Nothobranchius furzeri: one gene and its partner. The protein of the gene in region 2 interacts with the protein of the main gene of each other region in a pairwise test. Links are inferred from orthologs where the notes say so. Each region holds a gene or a part of one and is shown on either strand. Other genes may lie near its edges. The genes, in order: c14h11orf68 and csde1.

Evidence for each region.
Region 1: the proteins of csde1 (region 2) and c14h11orf68 interact in a two-hybrid assay, tested with the Homo sapiens proteins (2 studies listed by BioGRID and IntAct). The link is inferred for Nothobranchius furzeri from reciprocal best matches to the Homo sapiens genes CSDE1 and C11orf68.

The regions. Positions count from the first base shown.
Region 1 is NC_091754.1:63,715,368-63,723,004, forward strand, and holds c14h11orf68 (UPF0696 protein C11orf68 homolog), read right to left. Parts: upstream 4,182-7,637; 5' UTR 4,039-4,181; intron 3,424-4,038; 5' UTR 3,389-3,423; coding exon 2,642-3,388; 3' UTR 2,412-2,641; downstream 1-2,411. Other genes in the region: drap1 (dr1-associated corepressor), read left to right, coding at 4,590-4,631, 5,136-5,208, 5,383-5,476.
Region 2 is NC_091755.1:53,129,031-53,137,468, reverse strand, and holds the start of csde1 (cold shock domain-containing protein E1), read left to right. Parts: upstream 1-2,957; 5' UTR 2,958-3,166; intron 3,167-4,177; exon of another isoform or gene 4,178-4,307; coding exon of another isoform or gene 4,308-4,433; intron 4,434-6,743; 5' UTR 6,744-6,773; coding exon 6,774-6,932; intron 6,933-7,442; coding exon 7,443-7,641; intron 7,642-7,733; coding exon 7,734-7,900; intron 7,901-8,255; coding exon 8,256-8,342; intron 8,343-8,438. UniProt on the Homo sapiens protein: RNA-binding protein involved in translationally coupled mRNA turnover.

The DNA of each region.
Region 1 (7,637 bases), on a different chromosome or scaffold from region 2:
AGTGTTTGTGGTAACTGGGAACCAGTGCCTTACGTCACAGTTGGGGTCTGGTTGGAGGATAACAGATAATCTGGTTAATGACGGTTAACCTACAACGGTAGAAATGTACTGAATGGGTTCAACACTGTGCCTGAATCTGCTCCTGCTGTCTGTTTCCAGTTACTGAAGCGCCCCCTGGTGCCAGTGGGATGAAACCGCAGTCCACCTACTCGTGCATTCAGCCAGCACAGTTCGCTTCGGTCCAACCCAAAGTCACTACAGCAGCTGCGACTGAGCCCTGGAAGATCATGGAGAGTCTAAAGATGGGCCCTCAGCCCAAAAACAACCCACTTCCCTTTATAATGAGCTCAGCAGCACCCCCTGCCTCCATGGCCCCCACCACCAGCGCCACCGCAGCCAGCCAGGACTACCAAACAGTCAACCTGTCAGACCTTCATGAGTTCTTCCCTAACATGTCCTCAGCCATCTCCCAGGAGCCAGCAGCTGCTCAGGGAAACACGGAGCCCACCCAGCCCGGCACCATCTTCTCCAACCCGGACTCTCAGTTCCAAGTGGAAACAACACTCGTGGATGAGGACTTCCCCAGCTTTTCCGATGCCCAGGTTCCCAGCACCCTGGACAGTCTAAACATGGAGGACCTTGTGGACCTATTGAACCCCCGACTTGATGTTGGAAACAGCGCCTCCATGTTTGTGGCCGTTCCCAACTCTGCTGCTGGCCCCCATAACGGCTCAGTGTCCCAGAACCCCTCTGAACCAGTCAGTAACCCAGGAAGCACCTACATGAATTACCCCAACAGCATCGCTAACCTGCTGCGGAGCGAGACCATGATGGTAGCTGGTCCTGGCAGCAGCAGCAACCACCAGCCCACGGTGCTGGACGATCTGGAGGAGCTGATGTCTGCCGATGAAGAGCGTCTCATTTCGATTTTTAACAGCGGAAGCCATGCTGGGTTTGTGTCGGGACACCCAACCTAGGAGTAGTCCCCCCAAAGACCTCTTCTGTCCGCCCTCCTGAGGACAGAAAGTCCACTAACATGGACAAAGGTGGAGGGTGGACGTGACTTTCCACTGTGGATGTACTTACTGAAAAACTATCACAGCAACTACAGGACTGGCCAAGTTCAGCCAATCACACCAGTGTAGCCAGTGTGAGGAGCTTTAAGGGTCACGTGGAAGGTTTTGATGAAGGTGTCGATGTATCGATGGAGCCTGTTGAGCGTCTTTCTGAACCACTTTTGGTTGCTTTGTTCGTAGAAGTGTTTAAAATCAGCCATTTTTACTCCAAAGCAAAAGGCCCGGTACTTCTTAGAGGTGAGCCTACACAAGTACACGGTTTCTGTCAGGTGGTGGTAATGTTCACTGAAGGTCAGCAGTTGCGGTGTGAGCCCATCAAACCAAATGAAGGTTTAAATGTAAATACAATTCAACCAGAAGCTCAGAAGCTTACAACTCTGCCACAGGATGGTTTTTGTACTTTATAAAGACGACAGTTCACCACTTACACACGTTTTACGTCAGCTTTGTAGTAAGTTGTTAAAGGGATTTTTCAGCCGTTTGGATGTTTCTGTAACAGAGTCGACGCGGACTTCATATCTCACAGGGTCAGAAATACAATTTCTAGAAGCTCTCATAGTTGCTGTAAACTCTTCATTATTCTGCCATTAAACCACATTTTTAACTTAATTATTTTCAGTACGAGGTTCAAGACAACCATGTCCTGAACCTGGCTCAGATGGAAAGACGTGCAAACGGGCGTGTATTTCCACCGTTGAGAAGTTGTGTGAACGTTACTGAAGACCACTGCTGCTGCCTTAATATTTAATAAACTTCCCCAAAGCTGTAGCCGTTTACGGGAGGACGAGTCAGCTCCAGCCCTTCTGCTGCATCCAGGGGTTCGGCGTAGGTTTATACAGTAACCGTTTGAAGGTGGCAGCAGAGTGACTTCATAGACCTAAAACCAGCCGGGCCTGATCTCCAGAACTTTCACTGTTCCTGTTATTTTCTAAATCTTCTCGCAGCCATTAGTTTTGTACCAGTTATTTTGGCAGGAACGGTTTTAAGATGACATCCAGCCGCCTTGGTCTGAGCTCAAACTGTGTTTACGGAGAGCTTTCACAGAAAACAGACTTCTAAACGTCTCTCTATGCTGAAGTTCTGCCTTTCTTTACTTGTACACAGAAAACCATGCTATTATCTGGTATGAATGTCTAATCTTGTTTAAATTCAGAACACTTTAACAATAAAAAATCAAAACATTAAGACAGGTTTTCAAAGGTATATTTTACTTGTTAATGCTGCGATGGTTGAGTAGTAAACAAAGATTAAAGCTGAACTGAAGAGATATTTATCTTTTTTAACCAAGGGAAGCATAACCGAGTCACTGAGAGGCCCACGCTCAGGATTCAAGGATCTCATCAATCCTGCCGCTCACAAACATCACTCAACATAAACTGAAACTGCATTTCAGGTCACTTATTCAGCTAAGAAAGCAGGATGGATAAAACAAAACATTGAAATAATATTTTTTCCCCTTTATCAAAAATGAAAAAACACGAGACTGAAGTTGAACCACGGGCTAACTGCAGCGCCCGGGCTTCATGCGAGACGGTCACAACGCCACACTCCTGTCCAGACTGGTTCTAGGTGACTTCCAGCCTCGTGACTTTGTTGATGATGTGGGAGCGCCGGGGAACACATTCCAAGTCAAACTTGCTCTCATAAATTGTTGGGCAGAGCTTCCAGAGATTGTTCCTGTAGATTCCCAGGTATGTGTAAACATCTGGCTTGTAGGAGAGGGGGCATTTGACCCCTGTGGCGCGGATGACCGAGTCCAACCTCATCACTTCACTCTCATCGGTGAAGTTGTGGTTATAGGCACAAATGACCTGCTTGCCTTCTGCCTTGGGGTTAAAGGGGCTTACTTTGACAGTGGAGATCTTGCCCTCCAGGGTTGCTCTGGCCACGCACTCCCATGCGTGGTCTAGTTTGAAGCCTGAATCCAAGTGCATCAGCCACTTCCCCGTGAGCACGCCGTGATTCAGAGCCAGCTCTTTCACCGTTTGGAACGTGACAGGCCTGCTGCTGGCCAAAAGTTTCTCCCAACTCTCCTGGAGACCCATGACATCCCCGCCACCAGGGCAGTGGTCCGGCCCGAGAACAGCGATCCACCCCACCCGGCAGCCACTCTCCTCCTCAGCACCAAACCTGTACACCTGCGAGGGTCTGTTACTCTCCAGCCAGCCTTCAAACTCTGATCTGGGAGTTCTTCTGGAGTCAAAAACTATCCAGGGATCCATGTCTGCAGCCATGGCCTCAGCGGCAAAGGCCTCAGCCATGAACGGGGTTTCCCCCTCTCCATCTACAGGGGCTCCTTCTCCCTCCATCATGCTTTTAGAGTGGACGAATCCAGTCGTTTGTTCTGCTGAGTGGAAACAAACAGTCTGGCTTTAAAAACACCTCACATGTTTGAATACACAAACACACGGCCTGTGGTACTGTAGTTCAAATTACCACTAAAACTACAAGCCCCAGAATGCATCAGGACAGAGCACTGCTACCAGTCTGGAGCCGCCCTAAGGAACTCTGCTCATTTGATTAGAAACATAACAAACTTGGAGGTTTGGACTTCTCAGTACAGTAGTTTGATTGAAGCCCCAGCGATGTTGGGTTTGTGGCTCTGGCTTTTATCTGGCAACACAGGCTCGTCTTCAACTAGCAGTTTTTACTTCTCCTAACATTTTAAAAATTAATATTTAAATTTGCGTACTTTTATTTTCATCGAGGGATTTTAAACAGTCGTGAAAGCATTTGGTAAATGTTTAATACAATACGTTAAGGAAAATAATACGATATATTAATTTTCTAGAAATCTCACTTAAATAAGAAACCACAAAAACATTATAAAACATCTCTTCCGCTATCGACCCTGAACTCTGACCAAGTTTATAACGTTTGACCCATCTGGCCTATAAGATTCAGCGGTGCCAACTAACAGACCACATTTAGCATAATTTACTACATATTTAAAGCATCTTACCAAAACCCTGCTTGTTCTACAGATTGTTCCCCATTCGGACGACTGTTAGCAGCTCCTGTTTGCAGTAACATGAAAGAAAACAACCGAACTACTTCCTTCTAGTTGCTGCTAGCCAACTGGCTAGCTGCAGCGGTTTTTCATAAGGCGCTGCACTTTCGCTCATGCGCATTGGGCAGAGCTGTTGTCGCCCGACTGCAAAAGAGAAAACTTAGCTTTCAGGCAAATACCAATAGAATGCCCATTATCTTAGTGAACTATTCGTACTAATAATGGTCTTTAAACATTAATATATGAAACATATCTCAACTAATTAATACGTGGAACGCTCAGATTAAAATGCTAGCATCACAGTGTTCGCTGGAAGTTAGCGGAACCAAAGTGACCGGACCTGTTTGCGGAGGAGCACCAAGGAACGACTGACGACGTGCTAACAAGTTAGCCGGTTAGCTACCAATATCTGTTGTATGTGCGGTTGGATTGAATCACATATGATATACGAATATAATCCTGAATACTTTGTTTTGTAGTTTATCCTCCCAGGTTGTTTAACTATGCCCAGCAAAAAGAAGAAGTACAACGCCAGATTTCCTCCGGTGAGTCAAAACTTTCATTTGAAACGAGCAAACAGGAGCAGCTAGTTGTGGTTAGCTTCAGGAGATTCGGGCTTTATTTGGTCTAATGGAATGGAAAACCAAATTAGCATCCCTGATGTTTTTCACTGAACTACAACTTAGCCACTTACAGGTTGTAGGTTTCCCTCAATCAGCTAAAAAAGCTATTTTCATGTATATATTTATTTGCTGAGACATCAGTCGTTCGACTTGACTTTGGTTGTTTTTAGCATTGCCTACCACCGACATGGTAAATTATACATGCAGAAATTCTATGATAGAGTTCTTGTACTTATTATTTACCTGCATATGGACTTGCATATAACAAAGTTAACACATATGTAAATAAATGAACTGAGGGGTTGGGTTCTTCACTGAGCTGTTTTTAATGTTCTGCTAACAGTTAGTCTGTGATACGATTTTACAGTAATGAGGAGAAAAAACTGCTTTAAGACATACAGAAAATAACATTTATTTTTGTTTTAGGCAAGAATTAAGAAGATTATGCAGACAGACGAAGAAATCGGCAAAGTGGCTGCAGCAGTTCCTGTTATTATCTGTATCCTTTTTTCTGTAAAGGTTGGATATTTGCGAATTGTTGCTTTTACTTGTACAGTCATGTACAAACTACAAAGCATTTTGAATCTCTGTAATATCTTTGATGAAAAAATCATTTTAAAGAGAATCATAAGCATTTATGCTGTTGTTGATGTTTCCTTCACTGAGTCATCAGCGAGAGCTCTTGAACTCTTTCTGGAGTCTTTGCTTACAAAGGCTTGTCACGTCACCCAGTCGAGGAATGCAAAGACTATGACAACATCACATCTGTAAGTCTTGTGTTTGAGTCAAACCTTTTATTAGTGTGTTATTTTACATGTAAACATAAAAAAATATTCAGATTTAAAGATTCATTGTTGTTTTTACTGTTACAGCACTTCAGGGTTGAATGTCAGCCCCCTCATTTATCTATAATACTCACTTTTATCAAGTGCTGTAAAAAGTATCTGCCCCTCAGGTCTTTGAAACATTTAAAGAGCAAGTCACCCCCTACCAGAGTCTTACTCCACTCCCTGTTTAAAAAATGCAAGTGCTGTTGTCTAGCAGATCGAGAGGGCGGAGCCGCTAATAAATACACACACATTCTCACAGACATTGTGACATCATAATGTACCAGCTAATGTCATGGAGTACCTCTTAGCCCATAGCGATGGCAGATTTAAATTCAAATGCAGTGCAGAGTTTTTATCTGAAGACGATTCAATACTGACGGTTTTAAGCAGAATATTTATTTAAATTTGAACTAAGATGCACTAAAGGGCCAAAATATTGACTCCATGTCTGTGCAGCACGATTAGACACTCAATTTATCAGCAAAAAAAAGTGGTTTTGGGGTGACTTGCTCTTTAAACATAAAAAAAAACAGATTAGCAAAGAAGCATCCTCATCAGACAAAGTTAACTAGAATAAATGGAAAATGCAGTTTTCTAATGATTATTTAATTAAGGGAACAAAATCTGTGTAAACCAACCTGATCCTACAGGTTGATACACTCTGAAGCAACATCTGCAGTCAAGTGTCTATGATATAACTGGTAACGAGTCCTGCATGACTGTGGAGGAGTTTTGTCGTTATGCAGTAATAATAATTCAGCCACGTTGGGAGGGTCTCCTAGCCTGGCAAGCCAGACTAAATAAATGTATTATTTAGTCTGGCCACGCTCCATTGACGGCTCTCGGTTGTGGGGCGGGTTCTACCGTTGTCTTCCAAATGATCTCCGCATTCCACTGGACAAAGAATGTGACATCCTCTTGTTTCACTCTGTTGCATCATCCCACCCACCAGGCATATAGAGTGCCCTGATTGGCCCACAAAGTGGATAAAGCTCTCTGATTTGTTCACTAAGCAGATAGAGCACTATGATTGGCCCACCATTATGGACCAATCACAGCTCTTTATGTGTTTGAAACCCCTCTAGAGAGCTGTGATTGGCCAGCCAGAGTCCTGGTAGGAGCTGCGGAGGTCCCAGTGGAGCGTGCCTGGACTTTGCAAAGCAAGAATTTGGTCTAGTTCACTAGGCTAAGGGTTTCCAGCATGAATGACCTGTTTAAGGTCGAAGGTCAGATGTTGTCCTTCAGGAGAGCTGATTCCAGTTACAGCAAGTGGCCCATGTCCTGATGCAGCAGAGCAGCCCCTGACCATCACACTGCCACCTCTATGTCTGACTGTTACAATATTCTAGCGCTAGTTTTACTCTAGATGGAGCCTTCTACAACGTTTTGCCTTTGTCTCATCAGAGCAGAATGTTTCCCAAAGGCCTTGTGGATCATCTACACCAGTGGTTCCTAACCTGGGGGTCCCGACCCCCACAAGGGGGCGCCAAAGCCTCTCATTGGGTCGCCAGGACCTCTCCACTTTAAGGGGTTAAAACTTCATTTATTACTTGTTTATAGCCTACATTTTGCTCACATTTTTTTCATGAGTGAAAAGTTTACTGATATTAAGACAGGAAATAATTAGTACAGAAAAAGTAACACACTTTTAAGAACATTCTGCTCAGCTCACTGTTTTATTTTCAAGTGTCAAAAGTTCATTAAAGATAGGACTGGTTGATTAATCACAGCCTTTACAGTAAATAATCTAGTATAAACAGTAATATACACATTTAAGTACATTTTACTCAGTGTATTTTTATGTGTCGAACGTTTATTGAAAGGAATGATTGATTTATCAGTGTTTATGAGAAACAATGTGTTCAGAAAAGTAATACAAACTGTCAAGCACATTATGCTCTGTTTGTTTTTGTTGATGACTTTGTTCTGTACTGGAGCCTACTATTACTGTTATCTATTGAATCAAAGCGTATTACAATGTGCTTGAACCATTTTATCATTTATTAATAATGTTTGTACTGGAAGAGAGAATGGGGGGGGGTCGACAAAAATGTTACTGGTAAAAACGGGGTCCCTTGGGAAAAAGGTTGGGAACCAC
Region 2 (8,438 bases):
TAGTCAAAACCTGTGCTCAACATCATTTGTGGTGCAGCTTATCTGACATTAGCTAGCCAAAATATGTCTACATCAGTGGCAGCTGGTGAATTAGTTACATTTTTTCGGCAGGGCACATTTATGCCCTTTTGTTTTCAGATGTTCTAGCGAAATATCACCACTAGGGGGTGCCAAATTACCATTCTTACGATCAAATCTACGTTTTGTACCTCAACACGCAATGTCGCTAAATAAAAAGGCCAACAAAAGACACAGTAGCAACAGTGCAATATGATCCTATCCTCTTTACAATTTAAGCACCATTACTCAACCTGCAAAAGTCACGGAGCAATGCTGCAGCAAAACAAAGCTACTTTCATAAACTCAGAATCATAAATCAAGTCTTACCTTTGCTTACCTTTACCTGTACTCGTTTACTCTAAAACAAAGAATGGTGAGTTAAAAATAGTTATTAAAAAACTGAACTGTGGAGAGTTTCTGGTTCCAGGCAAACATCCTGAGCTGACACTCCACTCGGTTTTGGTTTAAACTTCTGCGACCAAAGGTGCTTCTATTCTTTGCATTTGAGGGGATCCAACGTGTTTAGCTCTGTTAAAGACTGCTGTGCTCGAAAAGAACAGGAAGTACGTAATATGTAAGATTTTTTTAAACTTCATTTAGATGCAGATTATACACAGCACTTATCGTCTGTGATGTGTAGATCGTTTTAGTTTAATTTTCATGTTTTGATAGTAATTCCATCTTCTTCCTGTGAGACTGGTGGGTCGCCCTAGCGCCCCCCCCCCCCCCCCATGGACGAGCTGCCACTTGTCCACATAACTGAACTGTTGGGCTCTTTTTTTTTCTCATGACATTCACTGTGTCCTATCCTTTTAATTACCTGGCTTACGGCAACATCCTACCAATTAGCTATGGTAACAAGCTAAAGCGATGCAAACATTAGCAGCACTTTTGTCATTGTGCTTTGCGGCTCTATTCCAGCCAACGATTGGTCCATCGCGGAGCACCAATATAAGCTGTTCTTTATATCGAGGTTTTTATCAACTCGTTCTCATGTCTACCGAGAGAGGATTTTGAATTATATATTGTTGCTGTTCTATCGCCCAGCTCTACACAAGATACACAAATTAATTTTCTTTTTGGTTCCAAATAGTAGTAATGTGCAAAACAGAGGGCCTTGTTGTGGTATGTATCAAAAAATAGTCAACGCTAGCTAATTAGTAGGGATGCAACAATACCACTTTTTTCCAGACCGATACGATACCGATACTTGGATCCAAGTACTCTCCGATACGATTACCAATACCGATACTTCTACCACAAAAAAATGCAATGATTTGGAATACAAATTTTATTTTCTTCAATTCAAAAATACTTTATTAATCCCAGAGGGAAATTGATTGCTGTAGTAGCTCAGAATAATAATAATAATCAAGTCATCAAAGAGTTGTTGTATATTACAATGGCTGTTGGCAGGAAGGATCTCCAGGAGTGGTCAGTGTTGCAGCCAAACTGAAGAAGCCTCTGACTGAAGACACTCTTCCGTTGTCGGACAGTCTTGTGAAGAGAATGCTCAGGGTTGTCCATCATTTTCTTGATTCTCTGGAGATTCCTTCTTTGCATCATCTCCTCCAGCGGTTCCGAAACTGCTGAAACTCTGGCTGAGTCCTTGAAAGGGCTTGGAGTTCCTCCATCTTTTGGCCAGTGATCTCACATTGTCCATTATGATCGATGGAAGAGATGGTTTGAATTTCCTCTTTCTCTGTCTCAGTTTTGCTCCCGCTCTGCACCCACGCTTCTTGTGTTTTATCTCATTTGGGATTTGTGGCTTCAGTTGAGGTATTATTTCAGCCTTTCTAATGTTAATCAGCTGCTCCCGATTGTAAACCAGCTTGTTGCCATGGTTACGCATCATAACAAATTGCAGTAAAAATCCTCCACGCTTCACAGCACCAGAAACAGAAAAGTTAAGTGTCCAAAAAATACAGTTTTTCTTGAGAAACTGGAAGAAAAATTGCCCAACAAAAGGCAAAACTTACATATAGTCAACAGAGCTACTCGAACATGCAGCCGCCCAGAGCAGCGCAGTTCCAGAAAGCTTCTCTGCTTTCAACAGGAAAAGACTGTGAGGTAGATAAAAAGTAAAATATATGAATGGAAATCATAACAAAACTAAAATATTAGGTGAACAGAAATGACAAGTTACAGTGAAGCCATATTTAAGGTACTGTATTGGTATCGGTTTCTGGTATTGATTAACTTTTAACGATACCTATACTGGTATTGGTACCGATACCAATACCAGTATCTGTGCATCCCTACTAATCAGCCCCCTTTTGCCTTTATCAAGAGGTTTTTGTTTACAGAATAGATGCAGGTGGTCAGTTTTTGTATTTTTCTGCAGCTTCTCTTGGGACTCGCCCCTTTTTCCTGTGGTGCAAACTGTGTGTGTGTCCATTGTCAAAGAAGAGGGTTATCTAACCAGAGCTGCTTTCTCTCCCCAACAGTATGAAGTGAAGCCGAACTGAATTTTTGTACCATCCGCAACTGCTTCAAGTTCAGATCAAAACAAAGGAACTGAAGAAAGAAAAAACCTCCTTCCAAAAGCAGTAACTCCGAAGATAACGTGGGAGGAACAGGATCACTTCAAGGATTTAAAAACACGAGTAACCAAATCCTGAAACGACCAAAGAACACGCACACCTGCCCAACTGCAACACAGACGAGAAGCAATCCTATGCCCAAGCATATTTTGAGAAGCTAACTGATCTGAAACCAGAAGTTTGTGCCTACTCAACAGCTTTGACAAAGCACACGTCCCAACGCTGCTCCTAGCCCTCCTCATCCTTACTACGCTGCCGACTCACCTCCAGGGTGTGGAGTTGGTTGCTATCTGCTAGTTCCCTCCCATCGTTCCCCTCTCTCTCCCACCCTCTTCCTCTTCTCCCTCTGTATTTCTTAAGTTTTCTGCACAGTGTTGTTGCACCTGCAATTGCCTTTCATGTGCTAGATCTCTCCCCCCTTTTTACTTTATGCAACCACCTAGAAGTTGAGCCAGAAACCTGTTAGCTGTGTGTGTGTGTGTGTGTATGTATGTGTGTGTGAGAAGAAGTCTGCAAAGTGATCAAGAGCCTGGTTATTGAAAAGACAAAAGTCAACAAATAAGGTGAGTTTCAGTCGTTTTCCTTTCATAGAACAAGATTCATCATGTGAAAGGCTTTTTTGCATTTCAGCCATAATATTTGTGACTTCATAAAAGGGTTCGGTGTTGTTTTTAAAGGAAAAACTGTAAATGATAAACTTTTTAGAAAATGTCAAAACTGGTTGTGTAACACTGGCTTCAGTGCTTAGGTTTTGGTGCACTAGATGAAAGTGTATAGCTGTCTGGTACCTGTGTGTTTGCAAGCTTTTAAAACTGTGTTCTGACTTCTAGCTTTAAGATCCATTTTTAAGGCGGCACTCAAACTTTGCCTCTTAAGCACAACGTGGAACATCAGTTCAGCTGCTAGCGTTTAGTCAGAAATTAGCTGCTCTTTGTACTTCCGGTCATACTGTTGAACATCTGATTTTTGTCGTTTCTCTAAAGCCTAGTTTATGCTTCTCTGTCAAAGTTTAAACTAGCATGTGTTGACAGAAACATCTTACTTTCATACTACTTTGTGTGTCAGTGTTGCCAAGCAATTCTCTGCCAGGACAGCAGAGGCTGTAGACATGTTCTGGTGGGTCTACCTGTCATTTCAGTGACTTCTCTAGCCAACGATAAAATCTCTATTTTTTAAATAACTGACTTGCGTTTGGCGGATAGTTTAAAAATGGGCTCTTCATCCGTCTTTGCGTGCCTTTTGGAGAGTTCTTGCGTCAACGGATAATGAAGCTGCGTCTCGTCAGATGGGAGAAGTATAAACTAGGCTTGACTTTTCCAATAAGCAAGCTGAGCTGAACTAAACAGTCACCATCCCTTCAATGTTTCTAAACCGGTGATTTGATTTAGTTGATCAGATTGCGTTTCCACAGCTAAATTGACACCCTTTCTACTCTTGAGTCATCTTTTTAAATCTTTTGCCTTTTCAACTCCTCCTCTGAATTGACAGCTGATTTCCTGTGTTTGTGACACTTGGCACACTGGCTGTCCTATCTTCATTGTCCATTATGTTTGTTCCTCTCTTCACCCTTGCAGACATCCAGCAGTGTATCATTGGGTGGTTGCGTAACCGTTTTTTGTCTTAAGTCCAGCAAAAAATTCAAACCAGTAATCAAGTTCAGCAAGTGCTCAAGCAAGCAAGTTTGGTTGGAGTTTATGGGAAAATATGGGCAGCCCCTGGAAAGGCTTTGTTGAGTTTACCTTGCCTGCGTCACCACCTACCGCGTTTGTTAGCGCTGACCTGAGCAGCACCTCCCCCGTCGGACTCAGCTTGTCACCGTATGGCCGATCCGTAAGTTTCGCCTTCCTGCCTATTTTCTGCGAGCCCTACCCCATTGAGCACCCATCCACCCAGCCCTGCATCTTTGCTGTGAATGGCCTAATCTTCCATTACCACCGGGCTCCCGAGACTAGCCTCTACTCAGTTACATCGTTGCAGGGTGAGGGTTGTTTGAGTGTAGCTATAAGGCTATTTCACTGATGCTGGAGAGTCTTTATTTTCTCTTATCAAATTAAACCCTAACCCTGGCTTTCTACTGGATGTGTAAGCAGAGTGTAACGTAATACACTTAATCTGCAATTTCTCTTCCCACTGGGAACGTTTCACACAGCTGGTTCTGCAAGGTCGCAAAATGACCTGAGAGTTGGTCACGTGTCATTTCTGAAATTCTCATGAGAACCAGTACGGAGAAAGATGGCTGCATGTAACCAAAATGATCCCTGGTGTCTGTTCAGTTTACCTTGGCCAGAGGTTTCACTGGTAGTTACATACCTTTTTTTTTAACTAGTTAAAGAGCAAGTCACCCCCTGCCCGAGTCTTACTCCACTCCTACTTCCTGTTTGTACAATGCAATGCTGTTGCCTGGTAGACCGAGGGGGCGGTGCTGCTAACAAATACACACACAGGCTCATAACGGCATTGTGACATCATATGGTACTTCTTAGCCAATAGCGTTATCAGATTTAAATTCAAATGCAGTGCAAAGTTTTCACCTGAAGAGGGCACAACAATGAGTTTAAGGCAGAATATTTAAGTTTTTACTAAGATGCACTAAAGTGACAAATAATTGACTACACGTGTCTAAAGCACGATTACACACATTTATATAGTTTATCAGCAAAACAAAGTTCATTTGGGAATGACTTGCTCTTTAAGCAACTGGAAATCTGCTTGGAACTTTATTTTGAAAGTTTTGAGATGTTTAACACAGATCTCATGTTCTTGTCTGGCCTGACTCTGTAGGCACAGCGTGTTAAAAATGTGTCATACGTGACGCGTCCCCCCCGCTTCTGGGACTCTTTCGAAACGCGGTGCTGGTGGAAGTGCACCCATTCGTTATCATGATGGCTAATTGCTGTGAACTATGCTTTATGGACATAACGCAATGCTTACGCGTCCGGTAGAGAAGCCTGGTTACATAACTCACCTTCCCATCAGCCCAAAAAAGAAATTACTTCATAAAGTGTAAAACTTTAGAAAAGCTTCCTACCTTTTGCGTTTTTTATTTAAAAGTTGCGTTTTTCGATAGAGCAGAACAGGGTCTAACAGCAGAGGCTGCTCTGGGATCCCCCTCATTACCCATAATCCATCACCAGCTCTGTCCACCTGTAGATACCTGCTGTTCAAACCGTCTCCATCTCCAGTCCTGTTCTCGCCTCAGCTGGCTGTGCCAAGAGCTAATTTTAGTTCCTTTTTCCGTTTGAATGGAGGTTTTTATTTTATATCTTTTTAGAAGGGGTGCTAAAAAACTCAGTTTGGAGGTTGTACACTCATTAAGGTTTTTGTGATATTCAAATATATTAATTAATTCATTCTCTAATAAAACATGTGACTTGTTTTAATACGGAGCTGGCATACAGAGGTTGTGTAAAGTTGGGGACATCAGTTGGACGTTGTGGCATAAAGCATCAAGGTTTGGGTGTCCAAGGGCGTTTCTCAATGCTAAAGAACCTTGTCTTGATGTCTTGTCCCAGTCCCGGTTGCCTAGGAGATACGTAAACAGACGTGTTCCAATGTTCATGTCTACCGAGGTGTCTGTTCTCCGTTTGTTAGCCGTTCAGCTAGCTGAGCAAGGATACACGGGAGGTGTCTTGTAGCCTAGCCTTGGTCAAAAATTACCCAGAATACACCGCAGTATTTTCAAAAGGATGGCGGATCAGAAGCCGGCAGCTACTTCTGGGGTAAATTTCAAGTTTAAATGTAAGTCAACTACTTAAAAAAAATTCCCAAAGCAGTTATTTATGGTTGGTTAGTTGCTTAGTAGTTGCAGCTTCGGTGGCTAGCGGGTAGTAACTCAATTATATTTTTAATTATAACAAACATCTAAACAATTTAAAAAGGAAACACCTTGTTATATATTTATGTTGAAACTACTACGTATAAAATATAACGTTATCTCTCGTGTCACGTGCCGTTACGTGGAAGCCGCGGTCACGTGTTGCAAGTCTGTTCCGTTTAACCGTTTTCTTTAACCGAGGAAGGACGGTGTCCTGAGTAAGGTGCCTTGACATTGAGAAACATTAAAAATGTAAGGTAATTAAAGTAAAAACCATTCAAAGCTTTGAGTCGGTTACATTTTGAAGCTGTTGCCTTTTCCAACAGCCTGTCCCGGCCCAGTCTCCTGTGTTAAAAATGGAACGAGGCTCCTCTGAACCTCCAGTTGCTCGAAGCACTGGCTCAGCCTCGAATACCTCCACTGCTCCCGTTCACATTCCCCGATCCTCCTCTGTCTCTGGCCATCCTCACCAAGGAAGTAAAAAATACAAGCGGAGCCCCTTGTATCAGAGATCCGTAAGACGAGACGCAGCTCTTACTGACTGAGTGGCTCTCTGAGCTGATTGGTGTGGTTTTACCTCTAACCGCATGGGTTTTTACATATTATAGTTAAATAAGATTATTGTCACTTGGTTGTGAGTCAGAGGAACGTACACTACTCCATCAGGAGGCGCATGATGCTTTGCAAAGTTCCACCTTGTTAGGATTTTAAAATATCAACAGTTTTGGGTGAATTGCTGTTTTTAAGGCATGATTTGACCTTAAAGGTTTCAGGTTTGTAGGCTAACATAGGTTTAAGTTCACTCCTAAAATGTGTTGACTATTGATGAGAGATCCCCAGAAGGCTCGTTTGCATTTTGTTTTATCATCCTATCCTCCTGGGTTCTGCAGCAGCTGCATGTTTTAGTTTTTAAGTTTGGCTTCAGATGAATTTGCCGTGAACTCTCGTCTCCCCCACCCGCTGTGTTGTGAGCTTCACGCTGATCTGCTGCTGAATCTGTTTAAAACTCTCCTCTCCTCTTCTAGATGAGTTTCGACCCAGGCATGCTCCATAATAACGGTCACACCGCATTCGCCAACGGCACCGGGCCTGGCATTAGAGAGACCGGTGTGGTGGAGAAGCTCCTGGCTTCATACGGATTCATCCAGTGCTCCGAACGTCAGGCTCGCCTCTTTTTCCATTGCTCCCAGTACAACGGCAACCTGCAGGAGCTTAAAGTTGGAGGTGAGAAGTGTTGCGTGTGGCTGGGGGGGGGGGGGTTGTTTGTTAAATGCCCTGTTTCAAAGCTAAATGTTGGCTGTTTTCTCTCCCACCAGATGATGTAGAGTTTGAGGTGTCCTCTGACAGGCGCACTGGCAAGCCCATAGCAGTGAAGCTGCTAAAGATAAAGCCAGAAGTGCTGCCAGAGGAGCGCATCTCGGGCCAGGTGGGGTCAGACCTGCACGTCTATCCCTTTACTGTGCTGCATGGTTATATTCATCCAGTTAAGGAACACCATTTTATTTTTGGTTTTGTCCTTGTCTGTCAACTTTGTTTCCCTTTAATCCCGCATGAATTCTTATTGGTTTTGTGTTTGAGGCTCCCAGTCCAAACAGATTTGATCAAATGTGCGCTTGAGCAGGTTTGATGGACACTAAACTTGTTCATCAAATATACGACCCTCGCTAGAGTCTAATCTGTGCTGAAATGTGGTCAAACTTGGGCTTATCCTAAAGTTACGGTACCTGTCTGCCATCTCATTCATCACGACAATAAGAATTTATTTGTTTTGTGACTTTAGTGGATGTTTAGTTGAAACAGACACGTCTGCGTGTTAAAGCCGTTCTCCTTTACTGCAGGTTGTTTCATCAATCCCCGTGCATTTGGATGGGAAGTCTGCTCCCGGCCAGGTGCCCACTGGCAGCGTTTGCTATGAAAGAAATGGGGTAAGAGACGGATTCTCGTGAGCTTGACGCCAAAGAGTGTGTGTGTGTGTGTGTGTGTGTGTGTGTGTGTGTGTGGGGGGGGGGGGGGGGTGTTTT